Xenopus tropicalis: one gene and its partners. The protein of the gene in region 2 interacts with the protein of the main gene of each other region in a pairwise test. Links are inferred from orthologs where the notes say so. Each region holds a gene or a part of one and is shown on either strand. Other genes may lie near its edges. The genes, in order: fosl1, nme7, tchp, shtn1 and fkbp6.

Evidence for each region.
Region 1: the proteins of nme7 (region 2) and fosl1 interact in binary tests that used the Homo sapiens proteins (3 or more experiments, as listed by UniProt). The two-hybrid records come from large-scale screens. The link is inferred for Xenopus tropicalis from reciprocal best matches to the Homo sapiens genes NME7 and FOSL1.
Region 3: the proteins of nme7 (region 2) and tchp interact in binary tests that used the Homo sapiens proteins (3 or more experiments, as listed by UniProt). The two-hybrid records come from large-scale screens. The link is inferred for Xenopus tropicalis from reciprocal best matches to the Homo sapiens genes NME7 and TCHP.
Region 4: the proteins of nme7 (region 2) and shtn1 interact in binary tests that used the Homo sapiens proteins (3 or more experiments, as listed by UniProt). The two-hybrid records come from large-scale screens. The link is inferred for Xenopus tropicalis from reciprocal best matches to the Homo sapiens genes NME7 and SHTN1.
Region 5: the proteins of nme7 (region 2) and fkbp6 interact in binary tests that used the Homo sapiens proteins (3 or more experiments, as listed by UniProt). The two-hybrid records come from large-scale screens. The link is inferred for Xenopus tropicalis from reciprocal best matches to the Homo sapiens genes NME7 and FKBP6.

Annotation. Positions count from the first base shown.
Region 1 is NC_030680.2:37,719,499-37,724,441, reverse strand, and holds the end of fosl1 (fos-related antigen 1), read right to left. Parts: intron 3,165-4,943; coding exon 2,970-3,164; intron 2,386-2,969; coding exon 2,278-2,385; intron 1,862-2,277; coding exon 1,418-1,861; 3' UTR 964-1,417; downstream 1-963.
Region 2 is NC_030678.2:55,292,274-55,296,629, forward strand, and holds part of nme7 (nucleoside diphosphate kinase 7), read right to left. Parts: intron 4,035-4,356; coding exon 3,924-4,034; intron 2,417-3,923; coding exon 2,366-2,416; intron 1-2,365. UniProt on the Homo sapiens protein: Possesses an intrinsic kinase activity. Displays 3'-5' exonuclease activity with a preference for single-stranded DNA. Does not seem to have nucleoside diphosphate kinase activity.
Region 3 is NC_030677.2:147,324,321-147,328,676, forward strand, and holds part of tchp (trichoplein keratin filament-binding protein), read left to right. Parts: intron 1-115; coding exon 116-172; intron 173-711; coding exon 712-780; intron 781-2,991; coding exon 2,992-3,165; intron 3,166-4,105; coding exon 4,106-4,218; intron 4,219-4,356. UniProt on the Homo sapiens protein: Tumor suppressor which has the ability to inhibit cell growth and be pro-apoptotic during cell stress. Inhibits cell growth in bladder and prostate cancer cells by a down-regulation of HSPB1 by inhibiting its phosphorylation.
Region 4 is NC_030683.2:5,248,852-5,253,207, reverse strand, and holds part of shtn1 (shootin-1), read right to left. Parts: intron 1,945-4,356; coding exon 1,779-1,944; intron 1-1,778. UniProt on the Homo sapiens protein: Involved in the generation of internal asymmetric signals required for neuronal polarization and neurite outgrowth.
Region 5 is NC_030678.2:41,855,049-41,860,105, forward strand, and holds the start of fkbp6 (inactive peptidyl-prolyl cis-trans isomerase FKBP6), read right to left. Parts: upstream 3,233-5,057; 5' UTR 3,145-3,232; intron 906-3,144; coding exon of another isoform or gene 879-905; coding exon 788-878; intron 294-787; coding exon 204-293; intron 1-203. UniProt on the Homo sapiens protein: Has an essential role in spermatogenesis. It is required to repress transposable elements and prevent their mobilization, which is essential for the germline integrity.

The DNA of each region.
Region 1 (4,943 bases), on a different chromosome or scaffold from region 2:
TCTGCACCCTTTTCGTGCTGATTTAGGCTTTGGCAGGCACTAAGAACAGGGCCTCATTGAGGCCTGTGTATGTCACCACTCACATCTAAATGATGCAAAATTTAGGGGAAATGTTGGGGATAAAAGGAGTGCCTATCCATATTAAATGCAGCTCTACTACACACAGACAATGCTGTATTTATCAGGGTGGTTGCATGACTCTAATGGAGCCAATGAAATATCTGCTAAAACAAAACTGCAAAAAGTGCATTAAAAAAAAAAGATAAAACGCAATACAATGAAGTCTATGAAGCCCAAGGGCCTATGGTTTGATGGCACTATTTAGATTTAGTATATTTGATAAAAATATACACTCTTTAAGGGAAACATTAATTTTCATTTTAGGGGTTACTTACTATCAATTTCCCTTATACTGTAGTCCGACAGAGCATTGGCTCCACTTCTCTCTGCCTGCATTTTGTAGGCAGACAGAGAGAAGCGAATCCACTCTCTTCCACAGCTCTGTGTAGCTGCACTGCTTTTGGCCTGAGTACAGCTACACAGAGCGGAGATCCACCCGAAAGACATGAAAGCAGCCATTTTTGGGCTCTGTGTAAGTGCACTAAGGTGGAAGCTGTGCCTGTCAATGCAGTTACATGGAGCTGCTGAATCTCCACCTGCCTACAAAGTGCAGGCGGAGTGAAGCAGATGCTCTGTGTGACTTTGGCCTTGACCAGAAATGCTTGGTTTAACTCCTCACAGACTCAAACAGTGGATGGGGAGACAAAACTAAGTTTCTGTTATGGATAAATAAGGGCGTAGGCTAAAATAGCTTCTACTCAAAACATTTCTCTCTCCCAATAAAGAACTGGAAAATAAATTTCAATAAAATATGACATTGTGATGGCAATGCATATTTTTGGATTAAGGCAATCACACAGAGGAATCTCTTGATGAAGTTTGTTACAGAAAAAACAAAGGAGATATTTTCTTACAGGTTTTTATTAATGTGCTATTATCAAAATGCACGTTTTCTATGTCAAGCATAAATCATATAAAAATATCTTTTTAATAAATACAGAGAGAACCTGCTCTACTGCTGCTTTTATATAGGAACCTACTAAAAAATGCCACTAAATTTAACACCGGCTCAGCCGCTGACTTTACCCTGGACCGTATTTAAGGTCAGGCAGTCATATACACACACTTTACTTGTAACCGTATAATGACAGGTCACGCATCTGACTAGAATCATTAATTGGGAAGTAATGTGGTTTCTTAAGAGAGGAAGTATGAGGTAAGTGATAGCATGCCTTATTAAGAAAGTGAATAAAATTCTATATAGAGTGTCTATAAAACTTTTGGGTTGGCGTAGATTTCTAACAGGTGAATCCAGACCCAGAAGCACACACAGTAAAAAATATATTTTTTCTTTTTTCTAAAGAGTCAGTAGGCTGTTAGAACTTAGAGAACATGGACTTTGCTCTCCACTACTACCACTGCTGCTGCTTCTGCTCAGCCTTCGGTGCGCTGTAGAACATGATTCTTGTGGACCAGGATAAGTGAATACCAAATTTGGCGTAAAAGGAGTAATGGATGGTGTCTTCATGAGTGTTGGGGTGTGAAGGGCCTCTGGCTCTAGGATTGTGTCGCTCAGCTCTATCCTGGGAAGGTTGACTTTAGGTCCCCTGGGTGACTCTTCATGTGGTTCCTTCTTAACCAGCCTGGAGGAGTCCACTTGCTGCATGTTGTGATGGGAGTCAGGAAACTTGCATATAGGCTGGTGAGCCTCAAGGATGAGTTCCAGCTTATCCTTCTGCTTCTGCAGCTCAGCAATTTCTTTCTGGAGGGATGACTTCTCTTCTTCAAGTTTGTCTGTCTCCTATTTAAAGTAAAAATGATATCAAGTATTGTATATTATGCCCACTTCTGTCACTTTAACCCCCAATTAGACCAGTAATTCAGGGATCCCCTCTTTTTTTTTATCCATGAGCAGCATTTCAATGAAAAAAGGTTGGGGAGCAACACAAGCACAAAAACTTTCCTAGTAGGTGACCAATAAGGACTCAGATTGATAATTTCGTAGCCCAATGTGGACTGGAAGAATACTAGAGGCACTGTTTATCAGTACACATGGTATTTATGCCTCCAAAACATGCCTTCAAGTCAGAAATTTAAAAATGGGCACCAACTTTGAGGCCACTGGGAGCAACATCAAAGGGGTTGGTGAGCAACATGTTGCTCACGAGCCACTGGTTGGGGATCACTGCAGTAATTCAACTACCCTATTTAACTTACTGCCTGCAGGTAATCTGTTAGCTCCTTGCGACGATTACGGCATTTTGCTGCTGCTACCTTGTTCCGCTCACGTCTCACTCGTCTTCGCTCCTCTTCCTCTGGTGACAGCTGTGAGAAAAAAAAAAAAGAGATAATAAATCTGTTACCCAATTTATGGAAGTGTTGTTATATGTGTGTAAGGGAGCTGGTTTGGCACTGCCACTTCCCACAAAATACCTTTATTATGTGTCTAAGGGGGTGGCATGAATGAATACTGCCTGCCTGCCATGCTCATGAATGAAGGGATTGGCAGTGACTGTGACCCTATGAGTCAGGCATTAATGTTTATCCCGCTCTTCAAACCATGGTTTGGCACGCACCACTAGGCTCTCTTTCCCAACCTGACTCATTCTACTGTTGGTGAGTCGCCTAATAACTGTTTCCGCTGCATGTGTAATTAGGATTTAAGTAGTGATCATGTTCTCTCAGCCTCATAATATAATTGGCAAAATACTATTGTTTTAGCCTCGGAAAGAAAACAGTTAACTTTTAAGGCTTATATTTTGGTTGGGTAAAAAGTATTATGTTTTCTATCAATTTTATTATTTCAATTCATAATAATTTTAAATGACATGTATGCTCAGCTTATTTAAAAGGGACAACAGTAAAGTAAATCAAAGTATTATTAATAAGTCGATAATGTGCATACTTACATGTTCTCCATTTCTCCTTCGCCCCATACTCAAGACTCCTCCCATGTTACGGATTACCCCATGCCGAGGGCTTTGGTATGGTGGTAAATTCAGGGGGCGTACACTTGGTTGGATCATCCAGTTAAGGTCCTGACTTGATGTGATAGCATTCAATGTTGGGATAAATTGACCCGAGGATGTGTGAACTGGATACTTCTGTAAAGGAATTTAGGAAGTTAAAGGTAAATTTGATTTATATGCATATTTGGTTGATACTTATTTGAAAAAAAAAAAATGTGTGCGTTATTATGAGTGTTCACATGGTTATGATTAACTAGTAGACACAGATATATATAATTCCATTGATTTACTGGATGAGTTATCAGAATTAACAGGGGTGCAGTTTAAAAACAGTTGATATTAGACTGAAAATGAATTTATAGTATGCAGATACTTGTCAGAATAAAGTGCTGCAGCAATTCTCTCTCTCAAGTTTTATATAAACTGAAGCTTAAAATTCCAGTCTTTAGGAAAGGAAAGTGAGTGACAAAACAATCTCCAGATTAAATTGTAGTTTTCCCCACAGAACAGAGTGGTATTTTTGAAGGATAAACTATATTCTGGTTTCAGCTAGATCACTGCAACCAATAATAATTGTACATTGTTCAAAACCGGACACTAGAACCTGAGTGCCAAAATGTAAAAAAAACAACAAAAACTGCCGCTAGGCTGTCAGTGGAAAACCAATAAAAAAAATATATTTATTTTTATAAACTACAATCCAAACCTCAGACATCTTGAGTTTTTTTTTCTAAACTCTATACTAAAGTGGCTTACTATGGCAATGAGAGCTGGATTCTTGCCTGTACTGGGTATCAAAATATAGATCATCCCTGTATAATCTAAAAAGTGATGTGGTAATGGCAGACTCTGTTAATGCCTTTAAGAGGGGCCTGGATGAGTTTTTGAACAAGCAGAATATCCAAGGCTATTGTGATACTAATATCTACAGTTAGTATTACTGGTTGTATATATAGTTTATGTATGTGAGTGTATAGATTGGTTAGTATAGGTTGTGTGCTGGGTTTACTCGGATGGGTTGAACTTGATGGACAATGGTCTTTTTTCAACCCTATGTAACTATGTAACTATGTACTGCACCAAACGTCTATACTTCCTGCATGTCAGGATTTCAGAAACAACCATTGAATTTAATACCATCCTCTTTAGCCTAATAATTAATGTGTAATGAGTATAATTTAGCCACCATTAATGCTGAGTAACAAGACCTGCTTGCCATGTTAAAGAACTGCTCACAGATGCCATTTACATTTTATACAGCGATGATGCTTGATAAAGTACATTTTCAAAGGAGGGTGTAGACTGTTTAGGACATTCTGTACCAAGCATGTCATCAGCAGAATTGACTCAGTCACAAACATATGTTACCTGCAGCTAAAATTCTTAGGTACATCTTAAAATGTATGAGCACCTACCTCAATGTTGCCTCTGACAGTAACAGAAACGAATGGAGTTATTACTGATGAAACAAAGGCGTAGGCTAAAATAGCTTCACATTTTCTGTCTGTATCAGGACTTGTCCTGGTTAGCCAAATCTAATCCTTTTATGGCAGCATGAATTGGCTGCATTGGGCGGTAAAGTCTGCATGAAAAGAGCTGTTTTGGGGCCATATGAATTTATACAGGTGACTTGTCCTAAAGCGTCAGAACAAGACATGCATGACACATGCAGTAAAACTATGTGCAAGAGACTTATAGATGGGAAAAACAAAATACAAACGAGGAAGAGTCTATTGCTGGCTCTGTGAGCAGGTATTGGCAGCATTTTCACTACTTTCTCTTCAGAAATCTCAAGAGGAACTGTATCATCCTATTTTCTATCTCCCCAACAGGTATGTCAAAACTGCAGACCTCTACTGAGGATGCTGGGAGATATAGCTAACAGAGAAAGAAAACATGACCATTTGAGATCCC
Region 2 (4,356 bases):
TCACTGTGGGAAGAAACCTTATTATGTAGACTGACTTTTCCTTCTCTCCAAATGTGTTGTTTCTTTGTGTTTCTTTCCCCATAAGCACCCTGGCAGATAAGAAGTTTTGTCGCCTGCAGTAAATCTTTGCAACTGCGGACAACAAATCTCCCAAAAATGCCTTCTCATTGCCTAACATTTGGACCTGGCAATGTACACAATGTTGTAGGCAAAATTGAGTAATGGCTAAAAGGTAACTAGAGGTTAAGATGGAAACAATAACAACAAAGGATTTCCGAGAATAAAAGAAATTAGTACTTGTGTATGAGGATTTAAAATACTGGAATAGGGGTTGAATTCAGGAGTGTTGACATTATATATCAGCAGAAAATGAATGAAAAGTGATATATCTGTGCTGATATACTGTAGGTATATAGAATTTCTTGTGTAATGGAATGCTGAGGCCAATGTTATCTGTTTTGTATTTGTGGTACTAGTGGTGGGTGTGGTGTTATATGAAGCCAGTAAAGGATTAGAAGGTGGGTGGAAATTAGGATTACAGAGGTTGTTTAGTGAGTAGAACTTCTTTGGTAGCAGTACAGGCATGAATCTCAATTGGAGCAAGTGAGGGCCTGTCCATGACCTTCTCAACTGTTTTTGGCTGATCTGGAGGCATCTTTAAAGGCATGTAAAGCCTACATTTGCCTACAAGGTATATCAGTTGGGCATGTCACCCCCACCATAATGGCATTATTTGTACTGCATATATCCCCCTCCATCACCATCACATTTTCCTAAAGCAAATAGCAGCTTTCACACGGTGGCCATTTTTCCTCTGATGCATAATCAGATACATTTATATCTGCAAACAGCATACACACACATACCCTTATTCAGCATTCAGCTGAGCTCAGGAGAGGAGGTTAGGAGAAAAAAAGAGAAGCAGACAGCTAGAGCTGAGTTTATATGGAAACCAGCAATGCCATCTCTTCACTGGCTGCTAGTCTGAAGGATGTGTTTAGTAATCTGAGTTTAGAACAACTGAGCATGCCCACAAGCCAATAGCCAAAGCAAATTCCTGATGGGAGGGGGCCCAAGTGGGTTTCAGGAGGAGAAGGAAATCTAAGTGATTAAGGGTATGTTGCAGCCTTCCTATTAACCTCTGGACAACCAGAGTGGCAGGTATTGAAAGATTTCAGAGGCTGTTCACTGATTACATTTTTGTGTGTGGGTTTTACATGCCCTTTAAAGGCAGCAAGTTGAAATAGTGTGCCAAAGTTGGATTAGCTGTGGGCCAGAGTAAGTGTAAGGGTACAGTTGAAGGGGAAAGCATGTGATAAACTGCAAATTTGAGAATGCTCAGGTTGTATGATAATTGCCTTATAAATAGGCACTAGGACACATGGTTAAGTGAGCAAAGGCAAGTGGACTAACACCAGGGGGTGTAAACAAAATAAAAAAAATCCAAACAAAACAGGGACATGAACATCCAGTTAGGATACCTTAATCTTCCCTAATAATAAAAGAGAATCTCTAAAACTATGTCAAAGCATATATATTTTTCCATAAGCAGGTTGTTCACAGGTGTGCATATTTACAAAAGGAACTTGAGCTACAGCCTGAGTTATTCCAAGGTTCCCATAGCAGGCTGCGTCAATAGGTGCAACAAATGTAGAGACACTTGCAAAAGACACAGTAATGCCATTTGAATAATGCAATCCCCACAATGAAATTTTGCACTTGCTTCAATTTTGTTGTATCAGATACTACTGTGGTTAAAGGAACAGTAACACTAAAAAATAAAAGAGCTTTAAAGTAATAAAAATATAATGTACTGTTGCCCTGCACTGGTAAAACTGGTGTGTTTGCTACAGTAACACTACTATAATTTATATAATAAGCTGCTGTGTAGCCACGGGGGCAGCCATTCAAGCTGGAAAAAAGGAGAAAGGCACAGGTTACATAGCAGATAACAGATAAGCTCTGTAGAATACAATAGTGTTTTATCTGTTATCTGCTATGTGCCTGTGCCTTTTCTCCTTTGAATGGCTGCCCCCATGGCTATATAGCACCTTATTTATATAAAATTATAGTAGACTTTCTGAAGTAAACACACAACTTTTACCAGTGCAGGGCAGCAGCACATTATATTTTAGTTACTTTTATACACTTTCATTTTTTGGTGTTACTGTTCCTTTAAGACAAGCCACAATGACATTGAAGTTGTGGGTAAAAAAATGGCAAATTGCAGCTAAAAATTGCACACTGCACTCACAGTCGTAAATGGGACTTTATATGTCAAATATGGTGACAAAATTGTCCACAGTGTACCGCAACTGAATTTTAATCCCACTTTACCTTCTGTAGATCAACTTTAAAACCATACCTAAAAAATGATTTTGAATGATGTTCATTATAAAAGTCCATTGCTTCAGTTCTGTAAAAAAGAATAAAGAGATGTTACAGCTGCATTTCTTTTCCTCTTTACCCCTGGCAAATTTTGTCTTATATTTTACATTAGGGGATACACTATACAGATGAATGAGTAAGATTTGGCACCCATGGCCAAATAACACATCTAAGCTAGTTTAAGTGAAATCAGCAAAGTAAAGAAAAGAAACTGTGTGTATGTAAGTACGTACGTACGTACGTACGTACGTACGTACGTACGTACGTACGTTATCCACGCCGTTATCTTTGAATCTTGGACAATTAAAGGGAGTGCGGACAGTGTGAGGTATTTTTATTTATATATATGTATAAACACACACACACAATTTATTCACTTTGTCCAGCCTTACCCTCTGTATTGTGTACTTTAACTTATGACAGTTTCTTTCAGCCCATTTCCAGTTCTAGGCAGCTAATATAATGGGGGTGGATTTGCAGAATTGATATGAACCACACTGAGAAATAACCGCAAGCTAATATAATTTACTAGAGCTTAATGACACCATTAAAGTAAAGCACATCAAAGAGAGGTATAAATGCTGATTAAGGTGGAAAAACAAACACTGGTATTTAACATTGTGGCTGATCTGATTTAAGAAAGTGGATAAAAAAATACTAATTTAACTTTATGAGACAAACAATAGGGCAATAGCTGTCATTCACTACCAGCTGAGGCTAATTTAATATGTACTGGTTTCTAACTAAAACTTTCCATGCCGCCTCTTGTCATGGGACACATCTACAGTGGTGCTGTCAAAGGGAGGCAGTGTTCTCAGATTCAGGTATTTCTCCATTGGTGGACATAGGCTGGCAGATACAACTGTCCTACCTACCTTTCTGATTTGAAAACATGGACATTTTAGAAAAAGACTTCCATAATTTACCCAAATCTGGTCCCCTCTGGGTGCTTCATTCTTCAGGTTAACTTTTAGTATGCTATAGAATGAACTGTTCTTAGCAACGTTTAAATCGGCCTTTGTTTTTTGGTTTTTTTTTATAGTTTTTAAATTATTTGCCTTCCTCTTCTGACTCAAGAAAGATGCTGAACAACAGGCTAAATAATTAAAAACCCACAAATAAAAAATGAAGACCAATTGTAAACTGTTTTGGAATAGCACTCTCTAGATCCTATTAAAAGTTAATTCAAGGCTGATGGCCCACAGAGTTAGTCGCCCGCAATAGATCTCTGCTACTGTGGCGACTACCTGCTCCGAAATGCCTTTCCACCAGCGACAACAGGAGTCTCCGCTGGAGAGGCCTACGCATTGCTTTGGCTTCCAAAGTTGCACAAAGTTTCCTCCTGCAGGCAACTTCACGCGACTCTGGAAAGCCGAAGCAATGCACTGGCCTTTCCACCGGCGACTTGTTCCGTGAACAACCCCTTTAACTAATTATTAACTTATTACCCATAATTTATAAAGTTCCAACATATTCATTTCAAAATATGCAAAGAAATTACAGCACAACTGCATCAATTTTATCATAATATTTACCTTAAGAGCAAAACCATTTTAGCCTTTGAGATTACAAACCCTGAGTCCAGTATGGCTTCAATAATTGAACCCATTTTTGTTACAGCATCTGGTTTTATCAAAGCTAATGTTCTGCAATAAAGAAAATATAAATATATTTTAGAATGCATTTGCTTTAGGTAAAACAATGTATTAGCATTTTCTATTTCTGCAAGCTTTTGAGAATTTATTACTGTAATCAGCTGCAATTTTAGCCACTGTCTCTCAGGCTGGCTCCTGAAAAGCTTTCCCTCCCTCTTTTATTGTCTGGGTTAATATCCAGTTACAAAAAGCAAGAAAAAGGTGTCAGGCACTCTCTATAGCAGGGACAACTCTCTGGATTTTCTAATAGCTCATATTAAAAGATACCATAAATTTGTGCCAACATAGGCATTTCTTTTGTGGCAGGCACAAT
Region 3 (4,356 bases), on a different chromosome or scaffold from region 2:
CATACTAAATAATTTAAGTATTAGTTTGTTACATGATAGAAAGAGTGGAATAATTGAGCTATAGTAGAATGTATATTTAATAAGGAACTGATAATTTAATTTCATTCATTTCAAGCTGGCAGAGGAATTGTTATATGAGCAGTGGAAAAAGAACAATGTAAAGTTGCGAGAGGTAAGTTAAAAGAAAATAGTAACAGTAAAAGTAACAGTTTTAAACATCATATGGTATTGGCACCCATGATCTTAAGATCCAAGGATGTGACATTTTGCATGCTATCATCTATTTTAAATCACTGGTTTTCCATGGTTGCTGGAATTGTTTATTGTTCAGGTCTATAGGCATTTTATAACCCTTTTTTAGTAACTTATTAATACTTATTTTTATTTACCCCTTTTTAAATATAATCTTTATTATAAATGAGATTTTCTTGCATGCAGTGTTTAAAAACAGAAGCCAGAATGTTAAAGGTAAACTTCCTCTTCAGGTTTTAAAAACCTGAGATACTTCCTTTTTCAGAATAAATTAATCCTGCATACCCTAAACTCCTGTAGTAGAATATCCTGTGAGTGGGTCTTAATATTGAGGTTGATGGACAGGGTAGGGATCCTGTGTGACTGTGACATTTATTTTTTATTCAGTACTGAAGAATACCTGTACAGCAATTATGAGCTATATATGCGTTGACAATTGTTTTAATCATTTTCTCATAGGTTGAATCCAGTCTGCTTAAAAAGCATGTGGTTGATGCTTGGGGTGAGCAGATCACAGTGAAAAACCAGGTAAGATAACCATATGACCTATTATTAAGTTGATGGCACACATTTTGTACAAGACTAGAAAAAAAAAAAAGGAATACAGCTACAATGCTAGGAATCTGATCTGTTCTTTTTATATAATCACTGCACATATGACACGTGTAAGTCGCCATCTCCCAAAATTGTGTAACACTGGGAGAAGCTCACAAAAGTGAAGAAATAGTTTTTGGAGTAAAAGTTGCATTAAAACTAGGGTAAATACAATCTGCCTATTCACAAACAGAAATAAACCTAAATTCAGACTTCTCAGAGAAGAAAAGAGTAGCTTATTTCCTGCATTAGGTGACAAAACATGTTTTAACATCACATTTGCATAATTTTCTAGTTTTTTATTTATGAATAAAGTACATATATTGTATAAACCTGAAGGGCGAAGACACACTGAGCAGCTACTTGTCTTGGCAACTAAATGGTAGAAATACCCTGCCATAGACAATACTGAGAATTGCCTCTGCTAAAACACACGTAGGGACAATTATCAGTAAATGATCAGCATTGTCTGTTTCTGTAGCTGCTATTGGTAGCTCTGTGTGTCTTCATCCTAAAGAGGAACTAAAGCTTCCCTGGCAATTTTTTAGTTTAAACACCAGTACACAGCTCCTTCCCAAATCATGTCACTGACACTTGCCCCATTGCATGTCCAGAACTACAGAGTTGCTTAGCAGTGTTGGCCACCACCTTTAGCTGTGTCACTTCTGTTCCCAATGTCCATCTTGGCGACCACCAAGCAGCGCTTGCACACCGACAGTCAAACTGTGATATAGGGCTACTGTATATTATCCTAGTTGATATCCATTATAGGAATGGAATTAATATGGCCAAAGATGGCATTGTGGCTCTGCAGTTCTGGATGTGCAGTGGCCCAGTTGATTTGGTGCAAGTTTTACTGATGTGGTTGGGAAGGGAGAATGGAGGATCTGTGCATTGGGCACAAAAATGAAAAAAAATTGCCACAAGGTTTTAGCTCCCTTTTAACAGGAGATAAAACCTAATGAGAATCTCTTGTCTGAAAGGCACATTATTACAAGGCAAATGTGCAGCTAAGAGTCACCTAATGGCAGACTGACAGGTTTAGGAAAAGCTTAAAGGAACAGTAACACCAAAAAATGAAAGTGTATAAAAATAATTACGACATTATGTACTGTTGCCCTGTGCTGGTACAGCTCGTGTGTTTGCCTCAGAAAGACTACTATAGTTTATATAAACAAAGCTGCTGTGTAGCCATGGGGGCAGCCATTCAAAGGAGAAAAGGCACAGGCACGTAGCAGATAACAGATAAAGCCCCATTATATTCTACAGAGCTTATCTGTTATCTGCTATGTAACCTGTGCCTTTTTTCCAGGTTGAATGGCTGCCCCCATGGCTACACAGCAGCTTATTTATATTAGCTATAGTACTGTTACTTTAGCAAATACACAACTTTACCTGTGCAGGGTAACAGTACATTATATTTTAAATACTTTAATACACTTTCATTTTTGGCGTTACTGTTCCTTTAAGTCTGATTCAGAAAAATGTTTTTAAAATGTCATACAAAAGACAAAATCTGGAAACTGTCTTTTTCAAAAACGAATGGTTTTATTTTTTCCCAATACCACTTTTGTGAATTTTCCCCCGTGTGTTATATCAGTTACCCATGGTAGTATCCCTTGTAGCACTTATAACAACTAGTGTAATCAATTTAGTTACACTCCCATAAAATATAAATAAGATCTGAACTGTGGCACTTTCCATATGATTATATGATTCTTGCTGGTACAACATTTTGTGTACATTAAAAAAAAAAATGAAAATATGATTTTATTATTATAAATAATAATTATTATTATTCTTTTTATTTCCTTTAAAGTTTAAATATCAACACAGAGAAGCATCTTTTTGCTTTAGGATTTCATAAGGATTTCACCATATTTGCTCCAAATTGCCATTCAGTGTAGTGTTAAATAGAAATAAATTTCTGTTTATGACATCCGGGGATGTTTTTTTCTATAGGCAAGCAATGCCATCTGACTTATGCCTATTTATTATTTATCCAAAAAAAACTCAGAAAAAACTTGTAAATATGTATGTAAATTAGAAAACATACAATAAACAACAATTTCCCAAACAGTCACAGTTGCTTTCTACTTTTAAGATGGTGTATATATAACAATGCAGGCCTTGTGACCTTTTCAGGAAAAAGAAGAGGAAGACGTGGAGAAAAAGAGATTTGAAAATGAATATGAAATTACTAGAAGGGAAGCTATAGAAAGGATGAAAAGGGATAAAGAGAAACGGCAAAAGCAGGAGGAGGAGCTTGCCGAAGTTTTGAGACAGCAAATGGAAGAGCTTAAGCTAAAGAATTTAGAGGTGAGGGCAGTAGGCATGGCATATATTACTTCACATTTTAGTTCCATATTTGTTTTGCAATTTTTGAGGTTCCAGATTTCACAGCCAAGAAACACCTAAAGGAAATCTAGTTACCTGGGGAAACATAAAAACTCCTTGCCTTGCTGTGGCTGGGAATGTACTTCTGAAATGTATAGATATATGTCCACACATTCATTCTACTGCCCAGGGCTATACTACTTGGCCTGATACCCAACCAGCTCGTCTGCAACACTCCTCCTTTTCCACCCGCCATGTCCTTATCATCCTCTTCGGTAGCCACTGCTGACATGTATTCCCACATCCCCCACCACCACCTTCTCCTCTGCCGCACTGCCTTAGTTGCTGCTGACGTTGCTTCTCCATATACCGAACTGTCCCTCATAGTTACTGCACCCTAGGCACTTGTTTTTCATGCCTACCCCTAGTTTTGGCCCTGAAGATTTGACTGCCACAATGCTCTCAGGGAGAAGTTCTGCTGTCGAATTACACTTCCCTCAAAATCCCACCTGATTTTGCTTCCTAAGACAAAATACTCTGCTTATAGCAGATGCCTCTTATGTAGTTAACTGTCCAGAAGAAACTCATTTGTGGGGAGTGCTTACCTGCTATTGGTAAGTAGGAAGTAAGATTGCTATTTGAAATTCCAATACAAGAAGTTATCTAGGTGTCCTATGATGGCATGACTTTGCATGAATTTATATGCTTCCCTTAGAACCCAGTTCTGGCGTATAGTGGTAATTCAGTAATGCCATCCCTATGTAATGTCAGGACTTGGTAATTTGGACTACAGGTGTTCTTTCAATCAGGACTTGGTAATTTAGCTATCTCCCATGGTTCCCTTGCTTCCTTTTTGAAACGCATTACAAGCTGATAAAACAAAAGTGTATCATTAATAATACACTTGTATGTTCTCCTACAGGCAAAAAAGTTGAAAAAAGAACAAGAGCATTTACAGAGGCAGCAGTGGGAAATTGAAGAACTTGAGGAGGAGAGGAGGAAAATGGAGGAGCACAGAAAGAAAACAGAATTAGGGTAAAGTTAAAGGAACAGTAACACCAAAAAATGAAAGTGTATAAAAGTAACTAAAATATAATGTCCTGCTGCCCTGCACTGGTAAAAGTTGTGTGTTTACTTCAGAAAGTCTACTATAATTTATATAAATAAGCTGCT
Region 4 (4,356 bases), on a different chromosome or scaffold from region 2:
CCCGCTATAGTTCCAGGGGTACCCAGGGCACAAATAAGCACTCACCCCAAATCCCCCCTAACTGGCCTTCAGGCTGGGCCCCCTTAGCCCATAACAAGGTTACAGATATATAGAAACATTGGGGTAACAGTCACCCCGCTATAGTTCCAGGGGTAACCCAGGGCACAAATAAGCACTCACCCCAAAATCCCCCCTAACTGGCCTTCAGGCTGGGCCCCTTAGCCCATAAACAAGGTTACAGATATATAGAAACATTGGGGTAACAGTCACCCTGCTATAGTTCCAGGGGTACCAGGGCACAAATAAGCACTCACCCCAAAATCCCCCCGTAACTGGCCTTCAGGCTGGCCCCCCTTAGCCCATAACAAGGTTACAGATATATAGAAACATTGGGGTAACAGTCACCCTGCTATAGTTCCAGGGGTACCCAGGGCACAAATAACACTCACCCAAATCCCCCCCTAACTGGCCTCAGGCTGGGCCCCCTTAGCCCATAACAAGGTTACAGATATATAGTAACATTGGGGTAAACAGTCACCCCGCTATAGTTCCAGGGGTACCCAGGGCACAAATAAGCCCTCACCCCAAAATCCCCCCTAACTGGCCTTCAGGCTGGGCCCCCTTAGCCCATAACAAGGTTACAGATATATAGAAACATTGGGGTAACAGTCACCCTGCTATAGTTCCAGGGGTACCCAGGGCACAAATAAGCACTCACCCCAAATCCCCCCCTAACTGGCCTTCAGGCTGGGCCCCCTTAGCCCATAACCAAGGTTACAGATATATAGAAACATTGGGGTAACAGTCACCCCGTTATAGTTCCAGGGGTACCCAGGGCACAAATAAGCACTCACCCCAAATCCCCCCTAACTGGCCTTCAGGCTGGGCCCCCTTAGCCCATAACAAGGTTACAGATATATAGAAACATTGGGGTAACAGTCACCCCGCTATAGTTCCAGGGGTACCCAGGGAAAATAAGCACTCACCCCAAATTCCCCCCCCAATTGGCCTTCAGGCTGGGCCCCTTAGCCCATAACAAGGTTACAAAAATTAATAGAAAATTCATTGGAGCCGGAGAGAACAAACAACCCCCCACCCAATGAAAAAAATAAGGTAACAGTCACCCCGCTATAGTTCCAGGCGGGTTAACCACATCAATGATAGCATCTTCACCCAAATCCCCCCTAACGGCCTTCAGGCTGGTAGGCCCCGGCTAGCCCCCCTATAAATACACACAGGTTACAGAATACTTATAGACCACATTGGCCGTGCATGTAACAGTCACCCTGCATTATGCTTCCAGGATGGTACTCCAGGGCACAACTAACGCCACTCACCCAAATCCCCCCTAACTGGCCTCAGGCTGGGCCCCCTTAGACCCATAAACAAGGTTACCAGATATAATAGAACATTGGCCCAGACACAAACAGCCCCCCAGGTACACAGGTCACCCTGCCTCAGGTATAGTTTCCAGGCCCAGTACCCAGGGCACAAAATAAGCACTCACCAATCCCCCCTATACTGGCCCTTCAGGCTGGGCCCCCTTAGCCATAACAAGGTTACAGGATATATAGAAAATTGGGGTAACAGTTCACCCCGCTATAGTATCCAGGGGATACCCGGGCAACAATAAGCACTCACCCCAAATCCCCCCTATACTGGCCTTCAGGCTGAGCCCCTTTAGCCGGATAACAAACTGCCGGTTTTACACATTATATAAAGACGACTACCAGCTACCCCTCAATAACTGGTAACAGTTCACCCCGCTATATTCCTACCTTTTATTCTCTGTTGGCAGCTCAGTGAGGAGCAAACAGAAGTTTCTGCTTCTTCGGCCGATGGTTCTTCTTCATCTAAGTTGATCTCCTTAGTAATGACGTCGGGGCCCAGTTTGGCCATACACAGCATACTAATCCGTTTCAGGGTCTTGTTCTCTTTGTTTAACTGATGGAACAGAACAAATTGAGAGACTGAAGAACACAAAAAACAAATCCACGACACTGGGGAATAAAATCCCCCTCCCAAATTTTTGGGCACTTTCCATGGGATGAAAGAGCACTCGGCACCAAGCAAAGTTGAACCTTTAGGGTCGATCAGGTGAGAAGTTTTCAAACCAGAAATAAAACATTGAGAGCGCAGCGCGAGGAACTGGGGGTGCAAAGTGCCCGTGCCGCTCTCCCCGTTGGCACATTTCCGTTCCGGCACATTGGGAGAGTGGGAGAGAATGTCTCACATTCCCAGAGCTTGGCCCTCCCAACCCTGACAAGTGATCTCCCTGTTCCATCTGCCCACGGACTGGTGGCAGCCAAATGCCAACATGGAAAACCTGTCAGGGTCCTGCTTCCAGGAGACACCTCTGATCCTTCTCTTAAAGGGACAGCGTGTTCATCCTGAGATGGCAGGACAGGGCACAGTTATTGGCGAATTGGTGCCATTAGTCAAAGAGGGATCCTGTTCTCAGCCTGAAAACTATAGGCCTGTTAGTCTGACATCAGTAGTAGGAAAGCTTTTGGAAGGGGTAATAAGGGATAGGGTACTTGAATACATTGCAAATCACAATTCTAGTTTGTGTCACATGGTTTTATGTGTAAAAAATCTTGCCAGGCTAATTTAATTGCCTTTTATCTACTGAAGGTTGAAAACAAGAACCGTATGAGACTCACAAAAACTGCTACAATTTCCACACGCCGAATGCTCCCACCTTCTCGCTGCTGGAAACTTGGATCTAAATTGGAAAAACTGGGAAATGAGTTCATATTGGGACAAGTGCAAAGTTCTGCCCCTTTAGGTAGTGAAAATCCCAGATAAAAGCACATAAATACGATCTCCACCAGCTCCCTATACCACTCTACATGGAGCGAGTTGGGGGGAATCCTTAACTGAGAATGATTGGGGGTATTTGTGGATAACAGATTGTGCAACTCTAGGCAGTGGCTACTGAAGTGACTAAAGTACAAAGTAAAAATAAGGGCATTAACTCAAGGGATGAAAATAAACTTTTGCCTATTGAGTCCTGGTTAGTGAGGTTGGAAATGCCCTGCTGGAGGCGGGTTTAGAAATCCCTTGACTGTCGGGCGTAGGTTAGAACAGCACATAATCGCACCCGCTCGCCTGCGGCTGAGTTACGCAAATGCCCGCTGTGGGTTGAGATTAGCAACAAATACACTCGCAGCTAGCCTACAGAGAACAGGGTCTAGAAACATGCAGCCTGCTGGTTGAGGTTGGAATGCCCTGTGGGTGAGGTTAGAAAAATGCCCTCGCTGGGTGAGGTTGGGAAATGCCCTGCTGGGGGAGGTGTAGAAAATGCCCTGTGGGCGAGGTTGCGAAATGCCCTGCTGAGGCGGAAGGTTAGAAAATGCCCTGCTGGGTGAGGTTGAGGAAATGCCCTGCTGTGGTGAAGGTTAGGAAAATGCCCTGCTGGGGAGGTTAGAAAATGCCCTGCTGCGGTGAGGTTAGAAAATGCCCCCTGCTGGGTGATAAGATAAATAAAAGGCATAAAAATAGTGACTGCTGGCACCTACAGCCCCCCTCATCCCATACCCAGAGCACAAACACCCCCCCCCCTCGACGGTGATACGCCCAAAGACACTCAATATAATATAACCTTGGCGACCAACCACCCCTCACCCAACCCAGAGGGAACTTGGGAAATTAGCACCAGACCCCCCTGCTGCAGGGTGAGGTTAGAAAAATGCCCCTGCTTGGCGCGCGCTTGGAAATGTCCCTGGACTGAGTATGAGGTTGGGAAATGCCCTGCTGGGGGGTTTAGAAAATTGCCCTGCTGGGTCGAGGTTGGGAAATGTCCTGCTTGGGTGAGGTTAGAAAATGCCCTGCTGGGGGAGGTTAGGAAATGCCTGCTTGGGTGAGTAGAAAAAATTGCCTGCTGGGTGAGGTTAAGAAAATTGGCGCACTGCTGGGTTGAGTTTAGAAAATGCCCTGCTGGGGTGAGGTTAGGAAAAATGCCCTTGCTGGGTCCGAGGTTAGGAAAATGCACCTGTAGGGTGAGAGTTGAGAGTAAATGCCCCGGTGCCTGGGTGATGGTTAGAAGAATGCCCTGCGTGCGGTGAGGTTTAGAAATTATGCCCTGCTGGGAGTGACCCGGTTGGAAATGCCGTTGCTGTACGGAGGTTAGAAATATGGCCCTGCTCGAGGCTCAGGTTCGGGAACATCGCCTCCTGCTGGTGAGGTTAGAAATATCCGCCCTTGCTGGGTAGCACGGTTAGGAAAATGCCCTGCTGACACAAACACCCCGCCCCGCGGTTCGGGAAATGCCTGCGGTGAGGTTAGAAATGCCCTGCTTGCCGCCGCTGAGGTTAGAAATGCCCTGCTGCGGTGAGGTTGAAATGCCCTGCTGGT
Region 5 (5,057 bases), about 13 Mb from region 2:
TAGTCTGCTGCATGCCTCTGGCTTACTCCCAGCCCTTGGAACAATGGTAACCTATGTAAAGAAGTTACCTACTCCTAAACATAAATGGCTACATCAGAGAGGGGTTATGCTGACAAATGGTTAACCTTGTGACTCTTCAGTTTAAGGAGCATACAGATGTATGTGTCAGTAAGTACAACAGACTGTGTGTGTATTCTTCTTACCTTCACCTAACTTCATCATTTTGGGGTGACGTCTGTAGCAACTTGTGTCAAATGGTTTGTCAGCATGTTCCAAGTAACCAGAGTACTTGACTGAAAAAACATCAAGTGCTGCATTAAGAACCCAGGACTCCTTAACCAGCTACACATTACATTAGTCAATACACACAAATATATGCTAAAAACACACCATTTATAAAGTTCCATGGCGACTCATTTATTTTTAAATATTGATGACATTTTATGGTAGTGCCAGGGCCATCAGAGATAAATGACATTGTGTACATCACAGATAATTAGATTCTCATACCACAGATAAACAAATGTCCATTATGCAGAGGGATTATCTGTGCACTGGGAATCTGATTATCTAAAAGATCATAAAAAACATTTTTGTTATTAAAATAATAGGAAAAAAGTATGTTCAGCACAAGTCCTGCTCATTGAAATTGTACTGTAAAGGGTCTTTACCGTCCTTAACAGAAACAACCAATATCATAGTATAATGCATATATCTATTATATAGCAATATGTCCAAGGGCTTGCCAGTTTCTATATGTAAATATGGTACTGCAGGAGCTTTTTACGTATTACTGTTGCATCACAGGGAACCTTCCCTCCTTTTCCGGGCCGAATCACTTCTTTCAGCACCCCTCTGTCTCCAGATACATCTTCCATTTGCTGTGCCAGCTGATGAAATACAGACTACAATGAAAGCACACCGGTCAGTAAAAGATGGTTCTGCTTTACAGAATAACAAATCAGTAACAAGACATACCCCTGAAAACAATAATCTACAGTACATGAACTTTTTATTTAAAAGGTTTAAGGTCAAATCAGATCAATGAATTCCTGCTTTTGCTTCAAAAGCTCTACTCCACTTATATATACGGCTGTGTAACCATGGGTGCAGCCACTGAAGGTGAAATTGGGCTTTAGAGTACAAGAGGTAAACTGTTCAGTACACAATGGTTTTTGGCCTACGGCACACTTGGCGGATTCTCCACTGATGGTTTCCAGATGGTGACAAAGGTGGCCGAGGTGACCAATTTCATTTCATTAAATAACAGACTGAAAAGCCACGATTTTAAACTTCTCTGCTGGTGGATCATACACTCCATGTGCGGCAGGACTTAGGTCTTAGACAGAAAGATATACATCTGTAGGTGCTTGGTGAACAAACAAAAATTAAATGCAATGAAAAAATGGTAAAGTTCACCTTTTTTTGTTTGTTCTCTCTCCAGTTGGATATTAAAGCTGTCACTGGCCAGAGCAGACAGGCATGTGCAAATGTCAGAAAGAATGATAAATAGGAGATTGCCATAAAAATTAGCAAATTAAAAAAAAAAAAATATATCCTCCAGCCCCAATCTGCTTTTTGATTACCAGGCCAGCAACCAGATTGTTATTTGGAAAGGTGCACGGATAACTTCCACTTGCAACATGCTAGAAGAATGGAAATGTTCCCTTTACAATGTAATATCCCATCAGGGGCTGAGACACAGGGAAAAGGAAGGGAATTTTTTACCACTTGTATGAATGAGAAATGAATTTCTGCACAACCCTGTGTGCCATTAGCGTAATGTATAAATATGATGGCCTAAAGATGCAGGTCTTATTGTCAAATATTTGACAAGTCCCTGTTTAAAATGTCAGAGACACTAAAGGTGGCGAAAATTGCCCAGGTGTCAATCGAGCAGGTTTGAATTTTCCTTTGAAACAGGGACTGCATTGGGGTCCTTGCTTCAACGGTCCTATTCCTGTGATTGCAACCTGATCGTTTGTCCCAAGGAGCCTGGCAAACTCACCAAACAAGCGACTCTTGCCAAATATTGTCATCTTAAAAAGCGCGATCAGAAATCAATTTAATAGGCAAATAGGTATAACATTAGATATGCTAGCTGTGCCAACATCACCATTCAGTACTATTTTATTCAGGGCTGTCTGTGTCCAGTGGCTTAATGTGAATTTATATGAAGCATCTTTTGTTCCACAATTCCTCTACAACTCTAAAAGGTATTGCAGAAAATATGAGACACACTTACATACTGCTCCCTATAACAATTATAGGGAAATTCTTGGGCATGGCAAATGGGTGAAAAATGCCTCCAATCCATATTTACATATACTAATTTCATAGACAACACCAGGCTAAAACACCAGCACAATATACAGAAACACTACTTTCTACTGGTTAGCCCAGTACATTATACAATGGCCGCTCTCACTCATGCACATTATGCTTTAACAACTAGTCACAGGCAGCGTACGAGCAACCACAGAACATTATACAGGAATGGGACCTGTTATCCAGAAAGCTTAAACATTAAATAAACCCAACAGGATTGTTCACCTACAATAGGGATCCCAAGTTGGGATCAAGTTCAAGGCACTGTATTATTATTACAGACAAAAAGGATTAAAAAAAAAAAAAAAAAACTTGTTTAAAATGGAATCTATGAAAGATGGTCTTTCCATAATACTGACATTTCTTAATAATGGGCTCTGGATAAGGAACCCCATACTTGCTTTCTCCTAGGCTCCAAGTACATCATAATGTGGGAACCCTAAATGTAGAATTGGGGTGCATCTAATGTGTAATATAATTATATAAAGAGACACACTGGGTAACTAGGGCACTTACTAAAACTTTGATTACATTTACTAATTACACTGGAAGTGGTTTCTGGAAAACTTGTAGATTAATAACTCTGAAAGCCTTTTACTTATTCAAGGGCAAACTTCATTCCTATGTTCAAAATCAAATTTTACATTCTTGTAAATGTACATTCTATAAATTCTTGCAGACATGTTATCCTCAAGTACCAATCACTGACAAACAGGCGCAGGTACTGCCGGCATTAACCTCCTGCACCAGGTGCTAAGTTTCCATTTCCATAAGGAAAGCTGTGTTTATAAATGCGATTGTTCCTAATGGACAAACTTGTTCTGTGCGCTTTCCTAAGCATATATTGTGGGGATTTTACACGGCCACACATCCCCACAGCCCGTGTCCCACACACTCGGTAACACCGCCGCTCTCACCATCATGTTTCTTCCCCCGCGGTCTTTTCTCAGACTTGCTCTTTGGGCGGGCCTGGTCATGTGACAGGCGTCTCACCAATCAACGTGAGCTGTATGTTAGCGGCTCTGAAGGGAGGTCCTACAAAGTGATGATTGGGGGCAGGAGAGCTAGTTGTGGCCGCGCAGTAATAGGATTCCATGGAGAGCCACACTTGGCCTGGAAGATGAAGTTGGTTATGTTTTGAGAAACTGTTAGTAGGTGGAGTGGAAATAGAAAGTACCAGTGAAATGCCATGGATGGGCAAACAGAAAGCCTTTGCCTGTGGGGCATGGGAGATCATTTAGGAAGTAAATCAGTGAAAGTCCAGGCGAAATTGTTGTCCTAAAGTGCTATAAAGCTTGTGCTAAAGTAAACATTTTTTTCTACCCAGGTTAAAATGAAAATAGGCCTTGAAATATCAAGATCACAGGGGTCCAAACAACCCCCCCCCCCCACTGTCTATGGCATCTCACAGCAGCCGCTATGGCGTTTGCAATTGCACTGCTGTAGCATATAATTACAGTACCAACACAAGTAGCAGAGAGACCTGAGTGTACCCCATCAATACAGTGCTCTATTCATAAGGGCAGTCAGTTTGTGTGTAAGCATATTTATATGAAGTGCATATTAATATGAGGATATAAATATACCCTTCAAAGCCCCCACCCCCTTACATCTAGCTAGCAGGTACTTTACCTTGAGCTGGATTTTATTAAAGGAATACTGTCATGGGAAAACATGTTTTTTTTCAAAACACATTAGTTAATAGAGCTTCTCCAGCAGAATCCTGCATTGGAATCCGTTTTTCAAAAACAGATTGTTTATATTTAATTTTGAAATTTCACATGGGGCTAGCCATATTCTTCATTTCCCAGGGTACCACAGCCATGTGACCTGTGCTCTGATAAACTTCAGCCACACTATACTGCTGTGCTGTAAGTTGGAGTGATATCCCCCCCTCCTAGCAGCTGGTCAGCAGAACAATGGGAAGGGAGCAAGATGGCAGCTCCCAGTAGGTATCAGAATAGCACTCAATAGTAAGAAATCCAAGTTCTCCAGTTACATGGGAGTAGGAGAAACAATAGGTTACCTGAAAGCAGTTCTAATGTGTAGCGCTGGCTTCTTCTGAAAGACTCTAGTTGCATGGGAGCAGGAGAAACAATAGGTTATCTGAAAGCAGTTCTAATATGTAGCGCTGGCTCCTTCAGAAAGCTCAGACTCAGGCACAATGCACTGAGATGGCACCTACACACCAATATTACAACTAATTAAATGTTGGTTTAAAAATAAAATTTTAAATGACAGAGTGAATTATTTGCTATGTAAACAGTGTCATTTAAAATAAAAAGTTTACCACAAAAATCATCAAGTTCATGAAGGCTTTAGAGGCATAAGAGGCCATATAGCTTTGTATGTTAATTGTTATAGAGAAGGCGCTACATTTGAATAAGGAAATGGTAAACGCTAGGCTAGGCCCGCATTCTAGCAGCCATTCCAGTATGTCGCTTACAGACTGCCCCACAGGCCCTAGACATCTGAGGTTCCAGGAGACTGCAGGGGTAGCTGGCACTTCTCCCACACCACTCACATCTGTCAATTTTCTAACTAATTATCTAAGAAATGTGGCACAGTTCGTGTTTCCCTTATCAGCCACTCACAGCCATACTAGGATTTTTAAGGCAGCTGATAAATATTGTGTCATTAGTTATGCTGGACAACAATGTATTCACACATTCCTATCCTGCCTAAACCAGAGAATGCTTTGCCACAGAGCACTTCATGGGATTTTACTA